Drosophila melanogaster: one gene and its partners. The protein of the gene in region 3 interacts with the protein of the main gene of each other region in a pairwise test. Each region holds a gene or a part of one and is shown on either strand. Other genes may lie near its edges.

Region 1 (6,727 bases), 6.4 Mb from region 3:
GGCCAAGCGATGGAAAAGTCTCCCATTGTCGAGGTTAGGGATATCCTGGCCAGATTCACCACCGACGTAATCGGCACGTGTGCCTTTGGCATTGAGTGCAGTAGTCTTAAGGATCCAGAGGCAGAGTTCAGGGTAATGGGTCGTCGAGCCATCTTCGAACAACGCCACGGACCGATCGGGATCGCGTTCATCAATAGCTTCCAAAATCTGGCACGCAGACTGCACATGAAAATAACACTAGAAGAAGCCGAACACTTCTTCCTCCGGATCGTCAGGGAAACAGTCGCATTTAGGGAGAAGAACAACATCCGTCGCAACGACTTTATGGATCAGCTCATCGATTTAAAGAACAGTCCACTGACAAAGTCCGAATCTGGGGAAAGTGTTAACCTTACGATCGAGGAAATGGCCGCCCAGGCGTTCGTGTTTTTCGGAGCTGGCTTCGAAACCTCGTCGACCACCATGGGATTCGCACTGTATGAACTGGCCCAGCATCAGGACATTCAGGACCGGGTGAGGAAGGAGTGTCAGGAGGTTATTGGAAAGTACAACGGAGAGATAACTTACGAAAGTATGAAGGACATGGTCTATCTAGATCAGGTTATATCGGGTATGTAATGTGCTCGTCTTCTCCGTCCTTTCTAACTTTTGGTTTTTTTTTAGAAACCCTTCGCTTGTACACCGTTCTCCCGGTCTTGAATCGCGAATGCCTGGAGGACTATGAGGTTCCTGGACATCCCAAATACGTCATCAAAAAGGGAATGCCCGTTTTGATTCCGTGTGGAGCCATGCACCGCGATGAGAAACTGTATGCCAATCCAAACACCTTTAACCCAGACAACTTCTCGCCCGAACGAGTGAAGGAACGCGACTCCGTGGAGTGGCTTCCATTCGGCGATGGTCCCAGGAACTGCATCGGAATGCGGTTTGGTCAAATGCAGGCCAGAAGTGGATTGGCTTTACTAATCAATAGGTTCAAGTTCTCCGTTTGCGAACAAACAACAATACCAATTGTATACAGCAAAAAAACATTCTTAATATCAAGCGAGACTGGCATCTTCTTAAAAGTTGAACGCGTTTAAAAATTTCAATATTTAATCTATTAGTCCCTATTTTATATGGAATTCCAGAAACAATGTTGCTCTATATCTATAAGAATGTTAAGCTTATTAGTGTCTAATCGCAGTAGCATGCTTGTGGATAACTAACTACTGTAAGTTGGCTTTCATTTTATGGTTTTAAAAAATTGTTTTTTTATTTTCTGGGTGATATATTGCCTTTTAAAGGCTTCTTATTATTGCATAATTATTACAAGACTCTTTTGCAGAAAAAATACTTTCGGCATTTCTTGGCAGAAGCAATCTATGAACATAACATTTTTAAGAAGTTAAGATATTTTAAAATCATTACAAAAACATTTTAAAAATCACGTACTCAAAGTAACTAACAACGAAATTAAATAAATATATAACACTTTAGTCTCTCACTACCTTGGTGATATTGAGATGGATTCCGCCCTCGGAGCCCAGCAAAAGGTTATTGATTGTGTATTTCATTGGCACTGGCGTCTTGGGATGCAATTCGAACCTAAAATTGTGGATTAGCAGGGCCAATCCAATGATGACCTGCATCCGTCCGAATCGGAGTCCAATGCAATTTCGGGGACCAGCTCCGAAGGGTAGGAAAGCGCAGGTGGGACGCTTCTTTACTTGCTCTTCATCGAATCGTTCTGGGATAAACTTTTCCGGCTCCGGATAAAACTCAGGATCATGATGGATGCCCAGGGTGGACACCAGCACTCCAGTGCCGGCCTCTATGAAATACTTGGGATTACTGTGCTGGTACGGTTTGGTGGCAATGCGAGCCAAGTGGGCTACCACTGGATGTTTCCTTAGCGATTCTAAGCAGATAACATATACAGTTTAGAATGAAAAAATAAACTATAATAACTTACCATTGATAACCTTTTCCATATAAAACAAGTCCTGCATAGAATCGTATTCCAGTTTACCATTGTACCTTTCCAGCACACTGTCGATTTCAGCCCTCAACTTGTCCTGAACATCCTGATTGCAGGCCAGCTCATAAAGTGTGAATCCCATGGTTGTGGATCCCGCCTCAAAACCAGCTAGGAAAAATACGAAGGCCTGGGCAGCGACCTCATTGAAGGCAAGTCCATTTTCCTTGTCGCCTTTATCATACTGCTGTTTCATGTCAATCAACGTGTCCATGAAATCGTTCCGAGTCACCTTTCTCTTCATCCTGTAATCTATGGTGTCCTGCACGATTTTCATATAGAACTTCTGCACCGAGGGAAGCAAGAACTGGAAACCCAGTTTCACGGCCAGTTTAGGCATCCCGAAGATTAGTAGATCTACCAGCCAACCATGACGACGTTCTCTTAGCGCTGAGTAGCCCATTTGGACGAACTCCGCCTTAGGATCCCGCAGACTATTGCATTTCAGGCCAAAAGCACAGATTCCAATTACGTCGGATGTGAAGCGTGACACAATGTCGGTGACTTCCAGGGTCTGCGAAGAACTGGAGATCTTTTCATCGACCACGCGAATCATCTCATCGCCCACGTTTAAGACCGTGGAAAACATGCTCTTCATTTTGGCTGACGTAAATGTGTGGGTCAGCTTCTGTCGCAGATTTTTCCACTTTTGACCCTCGATGGTTGCCAGGTTATTGGTCAGCGGATCATCCTTTTCGTTGTGATACACTCCGCGATCGTGAAACTTATCGAAGTCGCGAATTAGCACGGTTTTTACAAAATCCACGTCCGTGATGACAATGTACTTCATAGCATAGAGGTAGAAGCCCGCAAAAGGTCCGTCGGTCTGTTTCCTGAATTTCAGATATGTTCGCTTGAGGATGCCGGCCAGCGGCATTGTTCTCCAAAGTTCGCCGGTATTGCCGAGCGGAATATTGGGTGGATCATGGGGAATTCCTCGCCGTTTCCAGTAGGTGTAGTTCTGGAGCACCCACCAAGCGACGAGCGTAAGGACACCGACCACCAAACCGAGCAGGATCGCCATTTTGAGCAGACTGATTTGAGAAACCAATTCCAAGCGTTGCTTTTATGAAGAAGAGCTTTCCATCTAGCTATCGCCTGCTCCTCTTTTTTAGTCGTAACCAAGAAAATTTAACTGTTCACTTCCAGATAGAGGTGCTAATAGCAAAAAAGCTGAACAAAAATTTATTGAGGGTATTACCACAAATATTTACAATAAATTTACAACAACAAACTAACAAGGCTTAATTTGAATGCTATACTCTCATATACTGAATATGAGCTTTAAGAGGGATTTAATTCAAAAAAATCATATATAGCCGTGAATAAATGACCAAATAAAATTGTAATATTTAACCATTAAAGCCCATAATAATTTTGTTTATAGTCTCATTTGGAAAGCTTCTCAACTTTAAGGTGAATGCCATTCTCAGCAGACAGAAGAATGCTTTTCACGACAAACTTCATGGGAATTTGTGTTTCTGTGGACACACTGAACTTATAGCCTCGGATTAGATAGGCCAATCCCACGCAGGCCTGCATCAGTCCAAACCGAAGACCGATGCAGTTCCGGGGACCTTCTCCAAACGGCAGCCAGGTGCACGAGGGTCTCGCGGCGATCGCCTCATCCGTAAATCGCTCCGGCTTGAACTTCTCCGGTTCGGGATAGATTTCCGGATCATAGTGAATACCAAGAGCTGGGATCACAACAGTGGTTCCCTTGGCAATAAAGTATTTAGGATCTTCAGGCGAAAAATCTGTCTGGGTCATTCGCGTTAGATGCGCCAGAACTGGATACTTGCGAAGGGTTTCTGTGGCGTAAAATGGGAAAAGGCCCTTTAGGTAAAGTTATGCAACCTCTTGGGATTTTACTTACCCATGACGACCTGCTCCAGATACTTCATCTCTTTGATTCCCTCGTAGGTAAACTCGTTGTTGTGTTTGCTCAGAACATTGTTGATCTCCGCCCTAAGTTGATCCTGAATATCCTGATCGAGGGCGAGCTCGTACAGGGCAAATCCCATGGTCGTCGAGCTGGTCTCGAAGCCAGCCACAAAGAAAATAAAGGCCTGTGCCAAGATCTCGTTGAAGGACAGGCCATCCTCAGTGTTTCCGGCCTGCTCCTTCTCGTACATTTCGATTAAACTGTCCATGAAGTCGTGACGCTTCTCGTTGGTCCTCAATCGGTAGTCGATAGTATTCCTAACAATGCTAGTGTAAAAGTCCTCAACATCCTGCACGTTTAGTTTAAGCCGCAGGCGGCGGGAAAGTTTGGGAAATCCGAATATCAGGAAATCCAATAGTCCTCCATAACGACGTTCTATGATCGCCCTTTTTCCGATTGTCACAAACTCTGCATTCGGGTTTTGCAAACTATTGCAATTTAAACCGAAGGCGCAATTACCGATTACGTCAGCCGTATATCGAGCCACCAGATCCACAATTTCCAGAACTTGACCTTCACCTGTGGTGGTTTTAGCACTGAAAATCTTCTCCATTTCCTCCCCAACCTTCACAATAATCGGAAACATGTTCTTCATTTTGCCGGACGTAAAAGTGGGTGTCAGTTTGTGCCTCAGATGACGCCACTTCTGACCCTCGATGCTGAACAAGGTGGCCGACAGCGGATCATCGATCTCATTGTAGAAAATTCCTCGATTCTCAAAGTGATTGAAGTCCTTGATCAGCACCCTCTTGACCAATTCCAAGTCGGTGATGACAGCAGACCGGGTGAAAAAGAAGTAGAACCCGGCAAACGGATAAACGGAACGTTTGTACTTTGTATAGTAGTCCCGGAAGATCATCGCAATGTGTCGCTTCTTGGGCCAGTCCTTCATGTTTCCGTATATTGGATGGGGCACATCGTGCGGAATACCCCGCCTCTGCCAGTATCCATGACGTCGGCGGGCCATGAACAAAAGCAGTGACACTAGAAGTGCGATCAACGTTAGTAACAGCGACATATTTCGTTCTCAGTCCGCTCCACACTGAGTTACCAACCGGAATGATATGGCCCCTTTATACGCGAACGTTCTCTTCTAATCTCTTCAAATGTACTCAGAAGCTAGTTGATAAAGCGAATATTATTGCTTTCGGTGTGTGTATGCCTTATTATGTGATGTTTGCTAGCAAATCAAAACATTGCCTAACACATAACACATTAAAAAGGTTAGTTAAAGAGGGCTTAAATTCATATTAACTGAGCACAGCCTAATCTAATCGATCACGTAAGTGAATCAAGCAAAATAAAGAACACAAATAATGTATTTGTTAAAAACTTATTTGGCGAGCTTCTCCACTTTAAGGTGGATACCATTCTCGGCCGATATCAGAATGTTCTTAACGACAATCTTCATGGGTATTTGAGTTTCCGGGGAAACACTGAATTTATAGCCCCTGATCAAGTAGGCCAAGCCCACACAGGTTTGCATCATTCCAAACCGCAGACCAATGCAGTTCCGCGGACCTTCTCCAAATGGAAGCCAAGTGCACGAGGGTCTCGCCGCGATTTCCTCGTCGGTAAAGCGTTCTGGCTTGAATATCTCCGGTTCCGGATATATGTCCGGATCATAGTGAATGCCCAAAGCTGGGATCACAACAATGGTTCCCTTGGCAATGAAGTATTTTGGATCTTCAGGCGAAAAGTCGGTGTCAGTCATTCTTGTAAGATGAGCCAGTACTGGGTACTTTCGCAGCGTTTCTAAAACAATATTTAAATAAATGTATCAAATAAAAAATAAGAAGGATTAAAGAAACATACCCATCACAACCTGCTCCAGGTATTTCATCTCCTTGATTCCCTCGTAGGTGAACTCTTTGTTATGCTTGCCGAACACATTGCCAATCTCCTCCCTGAGTTTATCCTGAACATCCTGGTTCCTGGCCAGCTCATATAGAGCGAATCCCATGGTCGTGGAGCTTGTCTCAAACCCAGCCACAAAAAATATGAAAGCCTGAGCGAGAAGTTCGTTAAAGGTCAGGCCATCCTCCGAATTTCCCGACTGCTCATTCTTATACATCTCTATCAGACTGTCCATGAAATCATTTCGCTTTTCCTTCGTCCGTAGACGGTAGTCAATGGTTTCCCTCACGATCTTGGTGTAAAAGTCCTCTGCCTCCTGGATATTTAGTTTCAGACGTAAGCGGCGCGATAACTTGGGAAATCCAAAGAGGAATATATCCAGCATATTCCCGTAGCGATGCTCGGTGATCGCCCGCTTGCCAATTGACACAAATTCAGCCTTTGGATCGTACAAGCTGTTGCAATTGAGACCGAATGCGCAGTTGCCGATCACATCGGCGGTGTACCGTGCCACCAGATCCACAACCTCCAAAACTTGACCCCGATCCGCAGCGGTTTTACTTCTGAAGACCTTATCCATTTCTTCTCCAACTTTCACAACAATCGGAAACATGTTCTTCATTTTGCCGGACGTAAAAGTGGGTGTCAGTTTGTGCCGCAGATGACGCCACTTCTGACCCTCGATGCTGAACAAGGTGGCCGACAGCGGATCATCGATCTCGTTGTAGAAGACTCCCCGATTCTCAAAGTGATTGAAGTCCTTGATCAGCACCCTCTTGAGCAATTCCATGTCGGTGACCACAGCAGTGCGGGTGAAAAAGAAGAAAAATCCAGCGAATGGGTAATCGGAGTTCTTGTACTTGAAGTAATAGTCCCGAAAGATCTCGGCAATGTGCCGCTTATTTGGC
Region 2 (8,772 bases), on a different chromosome or scaffold from region 3:
TCAATTACTATTTAAGTTTCGCTAAATAACTGCTTTCAATGTATTGAAAATTGTTTTAAGTGTGTGCTTTAAAATGACATCATTATTTTATGCCAATCACATGACAACCTTATCCTTTTGAAAATGAACTGTATTAATCCAATGCTTTCTCGCACAGGCAACTTCGAGCACAAGGCGAAGGTTAGGCGTCAGGAACTGTGGCGTTCTTGCTCCAAACTGGGCATTCCCGAGTCCAATATCGTGCTGATGAATGCCACCAACCTGCCGGACGATCCCTACGTTGACTGGCGCCCAGATGCAGTGGCCAGCTTGATACTGCACACGATCGAAAGCCTCGACATCCAGGCGATATTCACTTTTGATCGGGATGGCGTCAGCTCGCATCCGAACCATTGTGCCGTGTATTACGCGGCCGCCTCGCTCTGTTTGGCCAACCTTTTGCCCAAAGGTGAGGAGGCGTGTGAGTCACGCGGGCGGCGACGGATGCAAACAATGGGTGCATGTTAATTGGCGTGCCCATCGCTGCATTTGTCGCTATTAATAGCCATAGATATTATAGTATAGAGCAATTTTTTATGTACCTTCCCAATGCAGATTGTAAATTCTACACCTTGGACTCGATCAATGTGGTCAGAAAATATCTATCCATCTTGGACCTGCTGTGCACGTGCTTTATGTCCACGCATTGGTATGTGTTATAAGTGATGCCGAATTCATATATAAATTCTAATGAGTTCTTCATTACACAGGTGCATACTGAATTGGAAGGAAGCTGCGATTGTGAGGAGTGCGATGATGGAGCATCAGTCGCAGATGCGATGGTTTCGCTGGCTCTACATTTACTTCTCGCGCTACATGTTTATCAATTCGATGCGTCAGATAAATCTCTCGGATGTGGAGTTGGAAATGCAGATACATGACAACTAACAGGAGGAGGAGGGCGAGCGATTGAATTGCAAAAGACAAACTACCTTCATGATCGGATGCTCCGCTCCGAGTGGCAGAGCAAGTGGTTTTTAATTTAAACTCTGACGATTCTACTAGTATATATATGTATGTAACTACTACTGTTGGCCAAACGATCGATAGTAATTGGAAAGCTATATCCAAAACCACGAAGGGAACAAAGAATCAGCGAAGCGGCAGTACCATAGGCAACCGAAACCACAAAACAGTCCATTAATTAGTTCCACACTCACATATAAAATGGCATATCTTTAATTCTTATTAGTTAGCTCTAATTATTATTTATACTCAGTCCAAGCAATGTTCCAAAGTGTGCGATGTAGTCAAGTGCTTTAAAATTAAATTAAACATGTATGCGTTATTCTAATTGTTGTTAGCTTATGTTTTCATTTTCGTTTTGTGTACATTGATTTCCCCCCGTAGCATACACACCTTTAGTGAGTCACTTTCGTTCTTGTAAAATTGTAAAATAGTTTGTTGTAAGCAGCGAAGTACAATAATAATTTTATAAAATATATTTACATAAATATATAAATGAATGTATGTATACACACATAAACCAATCTTATGACGAGCCAGAGAGGATAGATTTTAGAATGCTGTTGAAAAATATTATTTAAAGTATTTTAATAGCGCACTTTCAAATTCATTGTTTTATGGGCCCACGCAGAACTTAGTAAAATGCGAGACGATTTTTTGTTGCAATACTTAAATCTATTGTTTTATTCTAATTCCGAATTTGAAGTCGAAAACACAGAATTAACTTCAATTAGAATAAGTTGTTTCGTTTTTGGCCTTCACACAGTTTTTTCCACCATAAATTTATCCAATGCCGGCTCGGAACTTCTCCTCCGAATCGCCTAGACGTCCACTTCTTCCGCACAGTTAACAATCACCTTGCCCAGCCCAATGTTGGACTCGTGCTGGGCAGCTCGGAACGCCTCGTCCGCCTTGCTCAGGGGATACGTGGCCGTTATGAATTTTTGCATATGTGCTCGACCAGATTGCATGAGTTGTAGAGCAGTCGGATACCTGCGAAGATAAGAGGATAACTAAATGGTTAGACATGGAAATTCTGGTGTACCCACATATTGGCGGAACGAAAACTGGGCACTAGGCGGATGTTCTTCATCAGTACGTCCAGAGCATTGAAGCTGGCACACTCTGAATCGCACTCGGCCAGCACACACACCCCACATGGCTGCAGAGCCATGACCGCCAGATTCATCGTCATTGCAGAGATGGAGCAGTTGATTACGCAGTCCGGCCAATCCCGGAACTTGCTGTAGATGGCTTCAAGGACCTCTCCGAACAGTGCGTTGCTATCGAACTCGACTGCTTGGAAGCCGAAGTCCCGGGCGACCACATCCAGAGCCGGAGCCATACATCCGGCAATGGCCACACGCTTGGCCCCGATGGCCTTTGCGCATATGCCGGCCGCCACAGCCGTTGGGCAGGCTCCCAGGATGAGGACGTTGCTGGTGGGCGTGACATTGGCCTTGAAGCACGCCTGGCACCCCAGTGCTAGTGTCTGCGTCAGGGCACCCGCCTCCATGCTGATGGACTCTGGAAGGCGGTGACAAAGGTCGGCTGGATGCGTTTGGTAGGTGCTTAGGAAGCCGTTGTACACCAACCCGGAGCACATGTTGTACAGGCCCTTCTTGCATAGATCACAGATGCCGCAGGATAACGCCGACTCCATGACGACCCGGTCACCCACATGCAGATGCTGGACGCATCGACCGAGTTCCTCCACAATACCCGTCGCATCATGGCCCAGGGACATGGCTTCCATGTCCCGATTGCCGTTCTCATAGACGTGGATGTCCGAGTTGGAGACAGCCACTGAGCCCGTTCGAATGAGGACGTCTGTACGAGAATCAAGTGACCGATTATAATGCTTTCAACTGAAGGATAAACCATCACCTACCAAAGTCCTTTGGTCGCGGCTTGGAAAAGGGAACCACGCTGATCTCGTAGGGATTCGTTATGCGCAGCGTAAGTGCTTCATCATCCGCGGTGCGCTTTTCAGAGGATGGATGGCAACATGGCCGCGTGCTAAATGATCTTCTCTGCGGCTGCAGCTGGGCAATAGAACTCCGGGTCAAGAGATTGCCTATTCTGTCTTGGGAACAGGATGATTGACCTGAGGGAACTGAGCAACTATACACTATCACATGACTACGCACCATCCTTTTTCTTCTTGCGATCGCATTTCTTTTTCGGGAACTTGACCTTGGCGCATTTGCCGGTGCAGCTTTTCTTTGGACAGCTGTCTTCGTCGCTGAAGCAATCCTCGCGCAGTCCCGTTCGCTCCTTAATGTCCTTGCCACGATTAATGGGGTATTTGGTCTGCAATTCGCCACACTTGCCGCCGGATTTGCTCTTCTTGGCGTATCCGCGATAGCTGATGTGCTGCAGGGCTCCACCGGAGATCCTTCCCGCAAGTCCACCGAAGCGTCTTCTCATAAGGGCCGTGTTGATGGTGAATCGGGCCGGAGCAACTGCTTTGTGGAGCAGCCGACTCGTGCAAAGCGAGCACTGGCAAGAGCTCTCAATCTTCGGAACAGGGACACGATAGTGACGGCGCACAAGAGTGGAGTAGACTTTGAAGCGGGGACCATTTGAAACACTATTCGATTCACGGAAAGCTTGGCTCAAGGCGGTGGACAAGTGGCGCCTGCTTGCATCCGGTAGGTTAGCAACGGTGGAGAACTTGCATTTGCTCTTGCCGCCACTACCGCCCTTCTTGAACTTGGCGCAAGGATCCTTCTTTTTGTCATCTTTCTTGGCACAAGAGGATTTCTTCTTGGCACAGGGATCTGCCTTCTTCTTGGCACAAGGATCCTTCTTCTTCTTGGCACAGGGATCTGCCTTCTTCTTGGCACAAGGATCCTTCTTCTTCTTGGCGCAGGGATCTGCCTTCTTCTTAGCACATGGATCCTTCTTCTTCTTGGCACAGGGATCTGCCTTCTTTTTGGCACAGGGATCTGCCTTCTTCTTGGCACAGGGATCCTTTTTCTTGGCGCACGGATCCTTCTTCTCGCCAGACTTGAACTTAGCACAAGGGTCCTTTTTCTTAGTGTCCTTCTTGCCACACGGATCCTTCTTCTTATCCTTGCCGCAAGCACTCTTTCCGCCGCCCTTTCCCTTGCACGTGATCTCAGTGGTCTTCAACGCCTTCTTTTTGGGTGCCTTCTTCTTTGCAGGCCGCTCGCAGGGATCCTCCTTGCAGGGATCTGTGATTAGAGGACACTTTCCAGGACATTTGCGCTTGGGTTTCACGGGCGGATGCTTGCAGCCGTCTTTGTCCACCGGAACTGGCACCTCTTGCTCCTGAATGCCGGGCATGGCACACGCTTCCTCGGCTATCTTCTGCAGGGATTCCCGCACTTGACCAACTTGATTAGCCGCCGACATATGGGAAGTATCGATGATCCTATTAGGAATAGTCTCCTCATCCTTGGTCAGTTCCAGGTCCGCGATGTAGGTATCTGAGGATTTTCCTGCGAAACCTTTCTCCAAGGCGGTACTGCAAAGGTTGGCAGCCAGCGAGGTGAGGTCATCGTTGAAGCCGGGCATTTTGTCCTCCGTTATCTGGGCGGGGCTCAACTTCTGGGTATCGATCTCCACTACGCCCGAGATCAAGGCGTTGAACCTAAGCGGCAGCGTTTTCTCCACAGTGCCAGGCGCATCCAATTCCACCTTTGTGTGCATACAGATCATGGGATCCTGTGGAGTTACTGCATTCTTGTCCTTGCTTTCCAGAGCCTGCCGCAGATTGGTCATATCCATTTCGAAGGACAGCTCCATCGACGAAACGGCCATATCGTTGAGGCGATTGCTCAAATCCTGCGGCACATCCACTCGCACCTCCTCGACGAAGTCGCTCTCTTGGTTGGCGAGCTCTTGGAGATTAGATGCCTTGGTTGAGCCATGGATGGGTTCCGTCTGGGCCATGGCCGACATGGATTTGGTGGTTTTCAGAGCAGAGTTGATAGCTGAGTTACCCACAGCGTTTTGCAGGCAACTATTGACTGCCGTCTGGCGTTGCATTGGCATGTTGGCACCCTGACCCGCATCCAGTGCGGTTCCCACAGCGTCCGCCGTTGGCGTGGATGGGAAGGCCTCCCAAAATTTGCGGTCCTCGGCACTCGCCCCGGCCTTGACTTCTTGGGGCTGACCGCCCGATTCCACTTCCTGCAGGGCCTCGTTCAAGGCACCGTATTCCTCGACCATGCTGTTGGAGAAGGTCTCGATGTGGTTGGCGTACAAGCGCAACTTGTTGATGGTTTCCAGCGTGTCCTTGAGTTCGTTGCCATCCATGCCAGACAGATCCAAGGGCACAATGACTATCTTCAGATCCTTGCCATCACCCGTTTCCGGTGTAATCAGTCCAATGGGCATGATCTTGGGCGCATTGCTCGAGTTGCCGGAAAAGCTAATCCGTTTGCGCAGCATATCCACGTTATCGCTGACCGAGAACACATTGCTACCCTTTTGGGAGTACCTCTGCACCCGGACGCGACACGGATGATTCGTCCTCCGGCTAGACTTTGATCCGGAGGAGGCACTGGTGCATAGTTGCCTCAACCGTTCTGCATGGAGTAGGCTGCGCGGTCGGTATAGCGGAGCATGGTAGCTAACGCATCTAGATATCTGGAGGAGATTAAGTCCGAGACGGTTAGTCGGGAACTTCCCGAATATGCCTGGCATTTTTTCTTTTTATGTACAAATTTTTGACTTGATTCAGGAATACATAAGTTAACACACGGTAGAATTTCAGTTTTGAGAAAGGAAAGAAACCAAAATGTTGTGTAGTGTAAGACGTAGCAAGGAAAAATGGTGTAAAAGCTAACCAAATGTCTAACGTAAAAGTAAAGGGCCTACTGATTTTAGGTTTTAGCCTTAATTCAAATGTACTGTACCTGTAAAATGTTGGTTACTCTGCCAAATAAGCGCATACTACTTAATTTTTCACTTGTGCTGAAAGGCCAAAAACTAAAAACTTTGAATTTTGAATTTTGGTGGAATTTTTTTTGTAGGTTTACAAAAGGTTGTGTACTAGCACTGGGCTATGTTTTCAGACTGGGCCAGTAAGCCAAACGAGATTATGAACTAAAATTCGCTAGCCTACTGCTTTCCCGAAATTTCTATAAGATTCCACAATCGATTCGTTTGGCAAGTCCTTGAAAATAAGGAAGATTACTGCAACCTATTTGCTGCAGATATAATCCCATAAATGCTGTCACTCCAAAAACTCGAAGAACCGACTTTTTTGGGGGCCTCTAAATGCATTTTGAATTAAATTTAGGTACCACAATTGCCCCTACCGTTGCTGCATATTAATTGATTCACTAGTCACCTGGTCACCCACTCAATCAATTGGTGCCTCAGTTCGATTTCTGATTTTGCTGGCAGCGGTTTCAGTTTCTGTTTCGGTTCGGTTTTAGTTTCGATTTCTAGCCAAGAGCTAGATCCGTGATTCCATTGACAATGTTGCGATTGGCCAGCTCCACACTTAGTAGTTCCATATGTCTTATTGTGTTTTTTAATGTAAGCAAACACTTGGCATTGCCGATAATTAGGGAACTTGGCGATGTCTAAATTCATAATGTGGGTTTTTTTTAAACAAATAAGTGACTCATGAGCTAACTATTCAAGAAAATGGTGTAGGTCATGAATAGAGTATAGAGTTTGGTTGCACATTAGGGATCACCTTCGTATACAAGGTATAACCACACAAAGCTTTGCTTAAAACTTTAAACTATAATCTCTGGCTATTAGTAAGAATATAATCAGACCCTCTTCCGATCGGACCCTATGACTTTTTGAAGCAACCACCATACACCCAGAAAAATTAAGAACGTCACTCAGTGGCATTTATCATAAATCATGAGAAGATTTCTTCTTGATTTCGAGACGAAAACGATCTCAATTTTAATATTTTCAGAGGGAAGAAGTATCAGGTTTATGATTGTGTAAAAGGAACGTAATGGAAAGACTGACAAAATGAGAGCAAAGTCAATTGTAATCTAAGAATGGATCGATCTCTATCGAAGCATAATTCAATCTTGGCAGAATTTTGAGATCAAAATTTTCAAATCGAGATCTTTGAGAACGGTTTTTTCTCTAAGTGTATAGATGGGCACATATCATAACTTAGAAACCTCATCTTTGATTTGTAAAGCAGCCATATCTTATTCAACCAAATTCAAGGTCCAGTGACGCGTGCGCGTTGGGATTTGAATATAGAAAGCCTTATTACCGGTCATACTCAATATTCATTAACGTACGTGCAGCCGGTCATTAAGCGCCAATTATAGATTCCATTTCTCCGAATGTATCTGCAGTTTTTGTGGCTGCTACTGCTGACGACGACGACGACGACGACGTCCGCCAAGCCCACCAACTCCAGTGATTCTGGCACCAAGAATGGAATGCTGCATGTGACCAGCTTTGTGAACCAGAAGCCCAAGTCGGGAGTACGTGAAGAGTTCGATTTCGAGCAGAATGAGGCGGAGGCCACCAACTCGGCGCATCTGCAACAGCTCTTCGGCAGTTTGTTGCAACTGCCTGGTAAGGGAAACATGAGTCTGGAGCTGTCCCTGGAGACGGACGACGATCCGGTCAGCGAGCGAAACCAGCTGGATGATGAGATGAAGGCCACTGGCGAGCAGCATGAGGGCTTCACCGAAACTGCGGATGCATGGCATCGCATTAAGCTAAATATTCCGGTCCTGGAGCCGGTGAAGCACCTGATAAACACAGTTGGCGGTGGCGGCGTGAACGACTCCCATGTGAAGAGCAATACTCATCGGCTGATTGGACACCATGGCGTCCACGAAACTCACCACAATGGCGGGAACATCAGCTCCCCGGCCATCGAAACGGAGGAGGATCGGGAGACAGCCATCGACAGCACCGGATTCGATGTTCTGGAAACGTTGGGCAGCGCGGGAACGGTTCTGTTCAGCATCTTGCAGAATCTTCGCAAGGTGTTTGCCGCTAGCGCTGGAAGTGCAAGTTCCGCATCCTCGGGGGGCGGCGGCGGTGGAGCAAACTAGTGGACTTTCTCGGAGATTATGTTCTGTGATTAATATAAGTCTTGTGCAAATTCGGATTTCCCTTGATTCTTACTAATTAAATAAACGAAATGTTATGAAAATGGAGAAATTAATATTTCGATTTTGGGAAATAGATTTTGCCACTACCCCAAAAAAGACTTGCAGTTGGATTTTATAAAATATTTTACTGTCTTAATTCTGGTTTTTTATACGATACTCTTAAGTAGCCTACATGAACTCATAGTTTCCGTCGTCAAAGTTGCGATTGCCGACCATTGGACCGCCTGCTCCCATTTGATTGGGATTCTGGCCACCCATTTGCGGCCGGAACTGATTGCCTGGCGTGGTCTGGTGCTGCAAGAGCTGGCGCAGCCCCGGGTTGTTGTTGCTCATCATGGGACGCACCATGCGCTGCTGCTGCTGTTGCGCCTGCTGCTGCTGCATTGCGGCGACGTTTGGCGCCACTTGTTGCAACTGCTGCTGGAGGTTTGGATTGGGCACGCCACCGGGACCAACACCCACGCCAACACCTACGCCCAGTGGCATTCGCTGTTGCTGCATCATGTTCATCTGCATTTGATTCTGTTGCATGGGCATGCCGCCGGGACCGGGACCAGGTCCGCCGCCAGGACCTCCACCACCCATCTGCATATTGAGTTGGAACTGGTTGTAGTGTTGCTGCTGCGAGTTATCCTGTTGCATCTGTTGCTGCTGTTGTTGTTGTTGCTGTTGCTGCTGC
Region 3 (7,055 bases):
TATATGGTGGGTTTATCACCACCTTATCAATGGGAGCGGTATGCTTAAATAGGGGCACCTTTTAATCCCTCTGGCCATTGGCAATCGATCGATTTAGTGGGAGCCATGTTCAAGTTGCTGGTGCTCTCGTGCCTTTTGGCTTTGGCTCTACCTTCGCTGGCGGAGGTTGGCTGGTGGAAGACGGGTCAGTTCTACCAGATCTATCCCAGATCTTTTAAGGATAGCGATGGCGACGGCGTGGGAGATCTCATAGGTGAGTAGGCGGGTCGAAAGCGTACTACTTAGGCTATTATCTTACTTCACTCTTGCACTTAGGTATTACGCAACAGCTGCCTTACCTAAAGGAAATTGGCATCACAGCCACCTGGCTTTCCCCGATCTTCACCTCACCCATGGCTGATTTCGGCTACGATGTGGCTGATCTTAAGGGTATTGATCCCATATTCGGCACAATGGAGGATTTCGAGGCCCTGCTTGCGCGCGCCAAAGAGCTGGACATCAAAATCATTCTGGACTTTGTGCCCAACCACACCAGTGACGAGTGCGACTGGTTCATACGATCGGCAGCTGGCGAGGAGGAGTACAAGGATTTCTATGTTTGGCACACCGGCAAGGTGGTCAACGGAATCCGCCAGCCACCCACCAACTGGGTCTCCGTGTTCCGCGGATCCATGTGGACCTGGAACGAGCAACGGCAGGCGTACTACCTCCACCAATTCCACGCCAAACAGCCCGATCTAAACTACCGCAACCCCAAGGTTGTTGAAGCCATGAAGGATGTACTGCGCTTCTGGCTGCGAAAGGGGGCTTACGGCTTCCGCATCGACGCCGTTCCTCATGTCTACGAAATTCCAGCTGATGCCGACGGCAACTGGCCCGATGAACCGCGGAACGAGGCGGTGAGCGATCCCGAGGACTACACTTACCTGCAGCACATCTACACCACCGATCAACCCGAGACCCTGGAGCTGGTTTACGCTTTCCGCGATGTGATCGAGGAAATAGACGCCGAGCTGGGTGGCGACGACCGCGTCCTGCTCACCGAGGCCTACTCTCCTCTGGAAGTTTTGATGCAGTACTATGGAAATGGCACTCACCTGGGCTCCCAGATCCCCTTCAATTTCGAGCTGCTGGCCAAGATCAGCTACAGCTCCGATGCCTACCATTACTCGGAGCTGATCCACAACTGGCTGGACAACATGCCAGAAGGTCAGGTGGCTAACTGGGTGTTCGGCAACCACGACCAGAGTCGCATTGGCTCCCGATTGGGCGCCGATCGCATCGACGCCTGCAACATGATCATACTGGGCCTGCCCGGCGTGAGTGTGACCTACCAGGGCGAGGAGATGGGTATGACCGACGTTTGGATCAGCTGGGAGGACACCGTGGACCCTCAAGCCTGCCAATCGAACGAACAGGAGTTTGAGCGCCTCACTCGCGACCCAGTGCGCACTCCATTCCAGTGGAGCGACGAGGTCAACGCCGGGTTCTCCAACGCCTCGGTAACCTGGCTGCCTGTGGCCAGCAACTACAAGTTGGTCAATGTGAAGAAGGAGCGTGGAATAGCCCTTAGCCACCTGAACGTCTACAAGCAGCTGCGGGCTCTGCGTGATGAGCCTACTTTGAAGCAGGGTGATGTCTCCGTAACAGCCATTGGTCCAAATGTGCTGGCCTTCAAGCGGTAAGCTGGAACAATCATAGAACTTACACAAAGACTGGATATTGACCGGTTTTCCTTGTCAACAGATCTTTGGCGGGCTACAAGTCGTACATCACCCTCATCAACATCAACGATGATGTGGAATCGATCAACTTGGACTCTGTCTTCACCTCCATAACCACGCAACTGCAATATGTGGTGGTGAATGATAAGAGTGTGCGTCGCAAGAAGTAAGCACTAGACACCATAAAATATCTTTAAACATACAACACTAACTATTTTATCCTTTTAGCGACCTCACCTTTGCCAACTCCGTGCTGCTGTTGCCCAAGGAAGCAGTTGTGCTGAGCACAGTTTAAACTAATATATTAGATCCTTAATAAAGAATAACACAAAAATATTTTGATCGCATAACTTCTTTAATAGGGTTGGATTACTTAACTAACTGTGCTTATCTATACGATGGCCCCATGCCAACTTGTATAAGCACTGATTAGAAACAGACCCACTGGAAGTTTTGAATAATAGCCATTTAATTTATTGGCCATTTAGGCAATAACTAAATTCGTACGATTACTATCGATCACGTTTATTCGCAGATTAATCCATAGCGATAACCAAGCGACAGCTCAGGCCAAATGCCTATATCTTAAGTGGGTGTCTATAAAATCTAGATGTGGTAATTGGCATTCAAAGTTCGGTTTAATATATTTCTGGGAAAACATATGTCGAAACAGGGCCTATCTTTATTAGGGACCCCAGTGGCATTCGTACTGATTAACACGAACTAAAGAAGTAATTCTTGATACAACAAAATAAGTACAAGAAGTTAAGCCAACCAGCGTAGAACGACTGCTTCGTAGGGCATGAGAATGATTCTCTGTGACAGATCTGCTTTTTGCCTGTAAATCGTTTTAAGTTAGTTAAAAGTATAGAAATCAAGAAAGTAGAGAAAACCTACCCCGAATAGTGTGTGGAGTAGGCAGTGGCCAGCACATACTCGTAGGTTTTGGGGGCGAGCCCATCGAGGATTTCCATACCGTTGCCCATGTTGACCAGGATTCGATACTCCTCGCTGATCTTGTTTGTGCTGTAGGATATCAGGATATTAGGATCAGCAAGAGGATTAGAAGAGGATTTGCTTCACGTACCGAATGATCTGTAGAACCTGTTCCGTCACCGCCTCGTAGGAGAAACCTCCATCCTCTTTGAACGCAAGAAAGGCGGAACTGCTCTTAAGTTCTTGAAGACCCTTAAAGATGTTCAGGGAAGATCTGGAAACACCGCGTTCAGTCTGCACATTGTACCGTTGATATTCGGGACTTAGAGGCAGCCAGGTGGACTCCCCATCAGAGAAGTCGGCATTCTTTCCAGCCGTCCACTGCATGGGCGTGCGCTCCCCATCGCGATCCTCGCAAGAGTCGCCGGTGCACTCCACGTCCACGTTGGACATGCCAATTTCCTCGCCGTAGTAGGTTACCGAAGCACCTGGCAGGGCGTTTACAATCACATTTAGTAGATCCACTTTGTGAGCTCCCATACGATCGGCCACTCGGTTGGTATCGTGATTACCAACAACCCAATTGGCCGTCTGGTGCTCCTTCCACATGGTATTCATCCAGTAGTCGATAGATCCCACAACATCCTTGGCGGTGGAGTATCCACTGAGATACATCAACTGGAAGTTCATGGGCAGCTGGGTACCCTGATGGGTGCTGTTTCCGAAGTAAGCACTTAGTGTCTCCACGGAAGAATAGGCCTCGGCCAGGAGAACCCGTGAATCGCCTCCATTCTGCGCCCGATAGTTGTCCAAAAACTCACGCCATTCGTACATGAGATCCACCGTGGCCGGCTGGTCCTTGGTGTAGATGTGATCATGGTAGTCGTAGGCGTTGGGGTCACTGCCCCAACCGCTAACCGGTTCATCCGGATAGGATCCGTCTGCATTGCGGTGCTCGTAGATGTGTGGAACTGCATCGATACGAAATCCATCAACTCCGCGGTCCAGCCAAAACTTCAAGACATCCAGCATGTGCTCCCTGACCATTGGATTGGTAAAGTTTAGATCCGGCTGCTTCACCTGAAACTGGTGCAGGAAGTACTGCTGGCGCTTCTCGTTCCACGTCCACATGGGTCCGCTGAACACACTGACCCAATTAGATGGAGGATCTCTTGCACCAGTTTCCTCATTCAGTTTTCCATCGTCCCACACGTAGAAGTCGTCGTAGCCATCTTCGCGATTCACGGACTTTTCAAACCACACGTTCTCGTCACTCGAGTGGTTGGGTACAAAGTCGAGAATGATCTTAACGCCCAGCGACTTGGCCTCCACTATAAGGTCATCGAAATCCTCGAGAGTGCCGAAAATCGGATCGATGTCATAAAAGTTAGAGATGTCGTAGCCGAAATCCGACATGGGCGAGGTAAAAATGGGCGACAGCCAGGTGGCCGTGATGCCTATTTCCTTGAGGTAGCCCAATCTCGAAGTAATGCCTTTCAGGTCCCCGATGCCATCGCCATCGCTGTCCTGGAAGGAGCGCGGATATATCTGGTACAGCGAGGCGTTCTCCCACCAATCGATATCTGCAGTACCCTCCTGGGTGGTGGAAATTAGAAGGAGAGCTGCTAGCCCGAGATGTGCCCACTTTGGCATTTCGATAGCGTTTGAGTGGGCCAAACTCAATTTGCTAATACCAATTGCCATGTAGCGATTGAGCAGTCGATAAGGCACAATTGCACCGGCCAACTGGTAATCTATCAGTTTTATCGCATATTTGCTAGATTAAATAACAGTGGACTGGTCTTTCCCGCTCTCGAATGCTCTCTTTTTTGTTGGGCATTCCATTAGACCGCGAAATGTCGTAAAAGTGCAATAAAGTACGTTTGTTAAAGTTATAAATTGATGACTGGCCTGAGAATCACAAGCTGCATCAATATCTTTTAGTATTTATATTCGTAGGGTAACGGGTTTAATTACAAATATAATATAGAATTTATAGAATATAATATATTTTACAATTTATAAAAATTACTACAAACATATTTCAGTGTATTTGAGCAAGACAGATAATAAATGGGCAATAATGCGTGCACGGCCAAAATACTTTTGATATACCATATGCTTTTTTCTCGACAACAAAAAATGTTTAGATTTATAATACTAATTAGGTCACCATTTAGGCTTTACCTTTACAATTCCACCTCAATATGCTCCAGAGTTCACAAAAGATGAAATCATAAATTGCATGTAGAATTCTTGATACCACTCTAGCCACAATTCAAAGGATGTTTTTGTATTTTTCATGATAAGCTTTTTGAGGTACGGGTACTATCTAAACCATCTGTGGTTTCATACAATCAATATAGCTAACAAATACATGTATATTTTGAGTTACCTTTTAAGGTAGTTTACTACACTAACGCAACCTGATGAAGGATGCATTTATTGTAATTGACAGACAGGCGGACGGACAATCTTAAGTGGACTTTACAAGTTACTGTACTGTACAAGTTACTGCGAGTAAAATATGACATTTTTATAGAGTTAGATAAACGCAGGAAATATTTTCCTCGAAAACGCTTATCATATGAATGTCGACCTACGCTGATACTGACAACAGTTTAGGCCGTATTGCAACGATGATTATGTATTGTCACGCGATTAAAATGCCCCCAAAACTTCCACAAGGTTATCTTTTAAACATTTCCACAGCATTGTTAAGTGTTAATTAATCATGGTTTTCCAGCTTGTTGCTTGTTTGCTTGTAGTTGAAGGAGTAGGATTTGTCTGCGCTATTATCAGGTGACTAATGTCCACTTGAAAGGCCTACCATAACAAAAACAAGGAGGAACAGAAAAGACAGGTGCTGCGCTATATGTTACCCATTACTCAAATTGCAAACAGAAAACCTTCGGTCTCAGAGTGGAACCCAGCAGCAGAATGTAAAATTTAATTCACTTCATATTTAGTTTAAATGTATAGCGTGTGGCAATCTTTTGGAACTATCTCTAGATGTGTTTGCTTTTCTAGAAGCAAAAGCCGTATTCTCAACTGTTTGGCTCTCTTATTTCCCATAATTCCGATATTATACCTTATTTTCGCCGAACCTGTATACCTGCTTACACTTACCGGTAACGGGTATACAAATAATTCCGGATGATATTTGTCGCAAAAATCGGTATTTTTCCAGCAATCAGAAGACATTCGGGAGTGGGCTAATCGCTTTACGTAAAGCTTCGCTGGGAGTACGAAAACAATGACAGTTTCGGTTCGACTCGAGCACCCTGAGAACTCATGGGAGCTGTTTGCACAGCAATTCAAATGGCCACTCAAAATGGCCAGATCTCGATTGGAGCCACCTTATCGACTAGTATAAAAGGCACTGTCAGCTCTCCAGCCCGAACAAAATCGATCAAAATGCGCCCGCAATCAGCTGCGTGTCTATTACTGGCCATCGTTGGCTTCGTGGGAGCCACCGAGTGGTGGGAGAGTGGAAACTACTACCAGATCTACCCGCGCTCCTTCCGGGATTCCGACGGAGACGGCATTGGCGACCTGAACGGGGTCACTGAAAAGCTGCAGTACCTGAAAGACATCGGCTTCACGGGCACATGGCTGTCGCCCATATTCAAGTCGCCCATGGTCGACTTTGGTTACGACATATCGGACTTCTACCAGATCCATCCCGAATATGGAACCATGGAGGACTTTGAGCGAATGATCGCCAAGGCCAAGGAGGTGGGCATTAAAATCATCCTGGACTTCGTACCAAACCACTCAAGTACCGAAAACGAATGGTTCACCAAGTCTGTGGACAGTGACCCCGTCTACAAAGACTTCTACATCTGGCACGATGGCAAGATCAACAACGAGACCGGTGAGCGGGAGCCGCCGAGCAACTGGAACTCTGAGTTTCGCTACAGCGCCTGGGAGTGGAACGAGGTGCGTCAGCAGTACTACCTCCACCAGTTCGCCATCCAGCAGGCCGACCTCAACTATCGCAATCCGGCCGTGGTTAACGAGATGAAGAACGTTATTCGCTTCTGGCTGGGAAAGGGAGTATCCGGATTCCGTATAGATGCAGTTCCCTACTTGTTTGAGGTGGATCTCGATCGCTACAACCAGTATCCGGACGAGCCTCTGACCAACGACTCCGTGAACTGTCCCGACCCCGATGACCACTGCTACACGCAGCACATCTATACACAGGACATGCCGGAAACAATTGACATGGTGTACCAGTGGCGTGAGTTGGTGGATGAGTTTCATGTGGAGAACGGCGGAGATAAGAGGCTGCTGATGACGGAGGCGTACACCAGCTTTGAAAACATCATGACTTACTATGGAAATGGAGTCAGGAATGGCTCCCACATTCCCTTCAACTTTGACTTCCTT

What was found.
Region 1: the proteins of Mal-A2 (region 3) and Cyp6a19 interact in a two-hybrid assay, tested with the Drosophila melanogaster proteins (one large-scale study listed by BioGRID).
Region 2: the proteins of Mal-A2 (region 3) and CG4836 interact in a two-hybrid assay, tested with the Drosophila melanogaster proteins (one large-scale study listed by BioGRID).

Annotation. Positions count from the first base shown.
Region 1 is NT_033778.4:14,874,114-14,880,840, reverse strand, and holds Cyp6a19 (cytochrome P450 6a19), read right to left. Parts: upstream 3,056-6,727; 5' UTR 3,042-3,055; coding exon 1,955-3,041; intron 1,901-1,954; coding exon 1,476-1,900; 3' UTR 1,308-1,475; downstream 1-1,307. Other genes in the region: Cyp6a23 (cytochrome P450 6a23), read right to left, coding at 3,407-3,828, 3,894-4,980; Cyp6a17 (cytochrome P450 6a17), read right to left, coding at 5,296-5,717, 5,778-6,727. UniProt on the Drosophila melanogaster protein: May be involved in the metabolism of insect hormones and in the breakdown of synthetic insecticides.
Region 2 is NT_033777.3:20,011,141-20,019,912, reverse strand, and holds CG4836 (uncharacterized protein), read right to left. Parts: upstream 5,788-8,772; 5' UTR 5,683-5,787; coding exon 3,156-5,682; intron 3,092-3,155; coding exon 2,897-3,091; intron 2,836-2,896; coding exon 2,055-2,835; intron 1,999-2,054; coding exon 1,827-1,998; 3' UTR 1,665-1,826; downstream 1-1,664. Other genes in the region: PIG-L (phosphatidylinositol glycan anchor biosynthesis class L), read left to right, coding at 158-448, 595-684, 746-927; CG17190 (uncharacterized protein), read left to right, coding at 6,463-6,522, 7,320-8,033; MED25 (mediator complex subunit 25), read right to left, coding at 8,262-8,772.
Region 3 is NT_033778.4:8,450,907-8,457,961, reverse strand, and holds Mal-A2 (maltase A2), read right to left. Parts: upstream 4,336-7,055; 5' UTR 4,314-4,335; coding exon 2,812-4,313; intron 2,751-2,811; coding exon 2,622-2,750; intron 2,563-2,621; coding exon 2,490-2,562; 3' UTR 2,180-2,489; downstream 1-2,179. Other genes in the region: Mal-A3 (maltase A3), read left to right, coding at 106-253, 316-1,681, 1,747-1,890, 1,953-2,019; Mal-A1 (maltase A1), read left to right, coding at 6,078-7,055.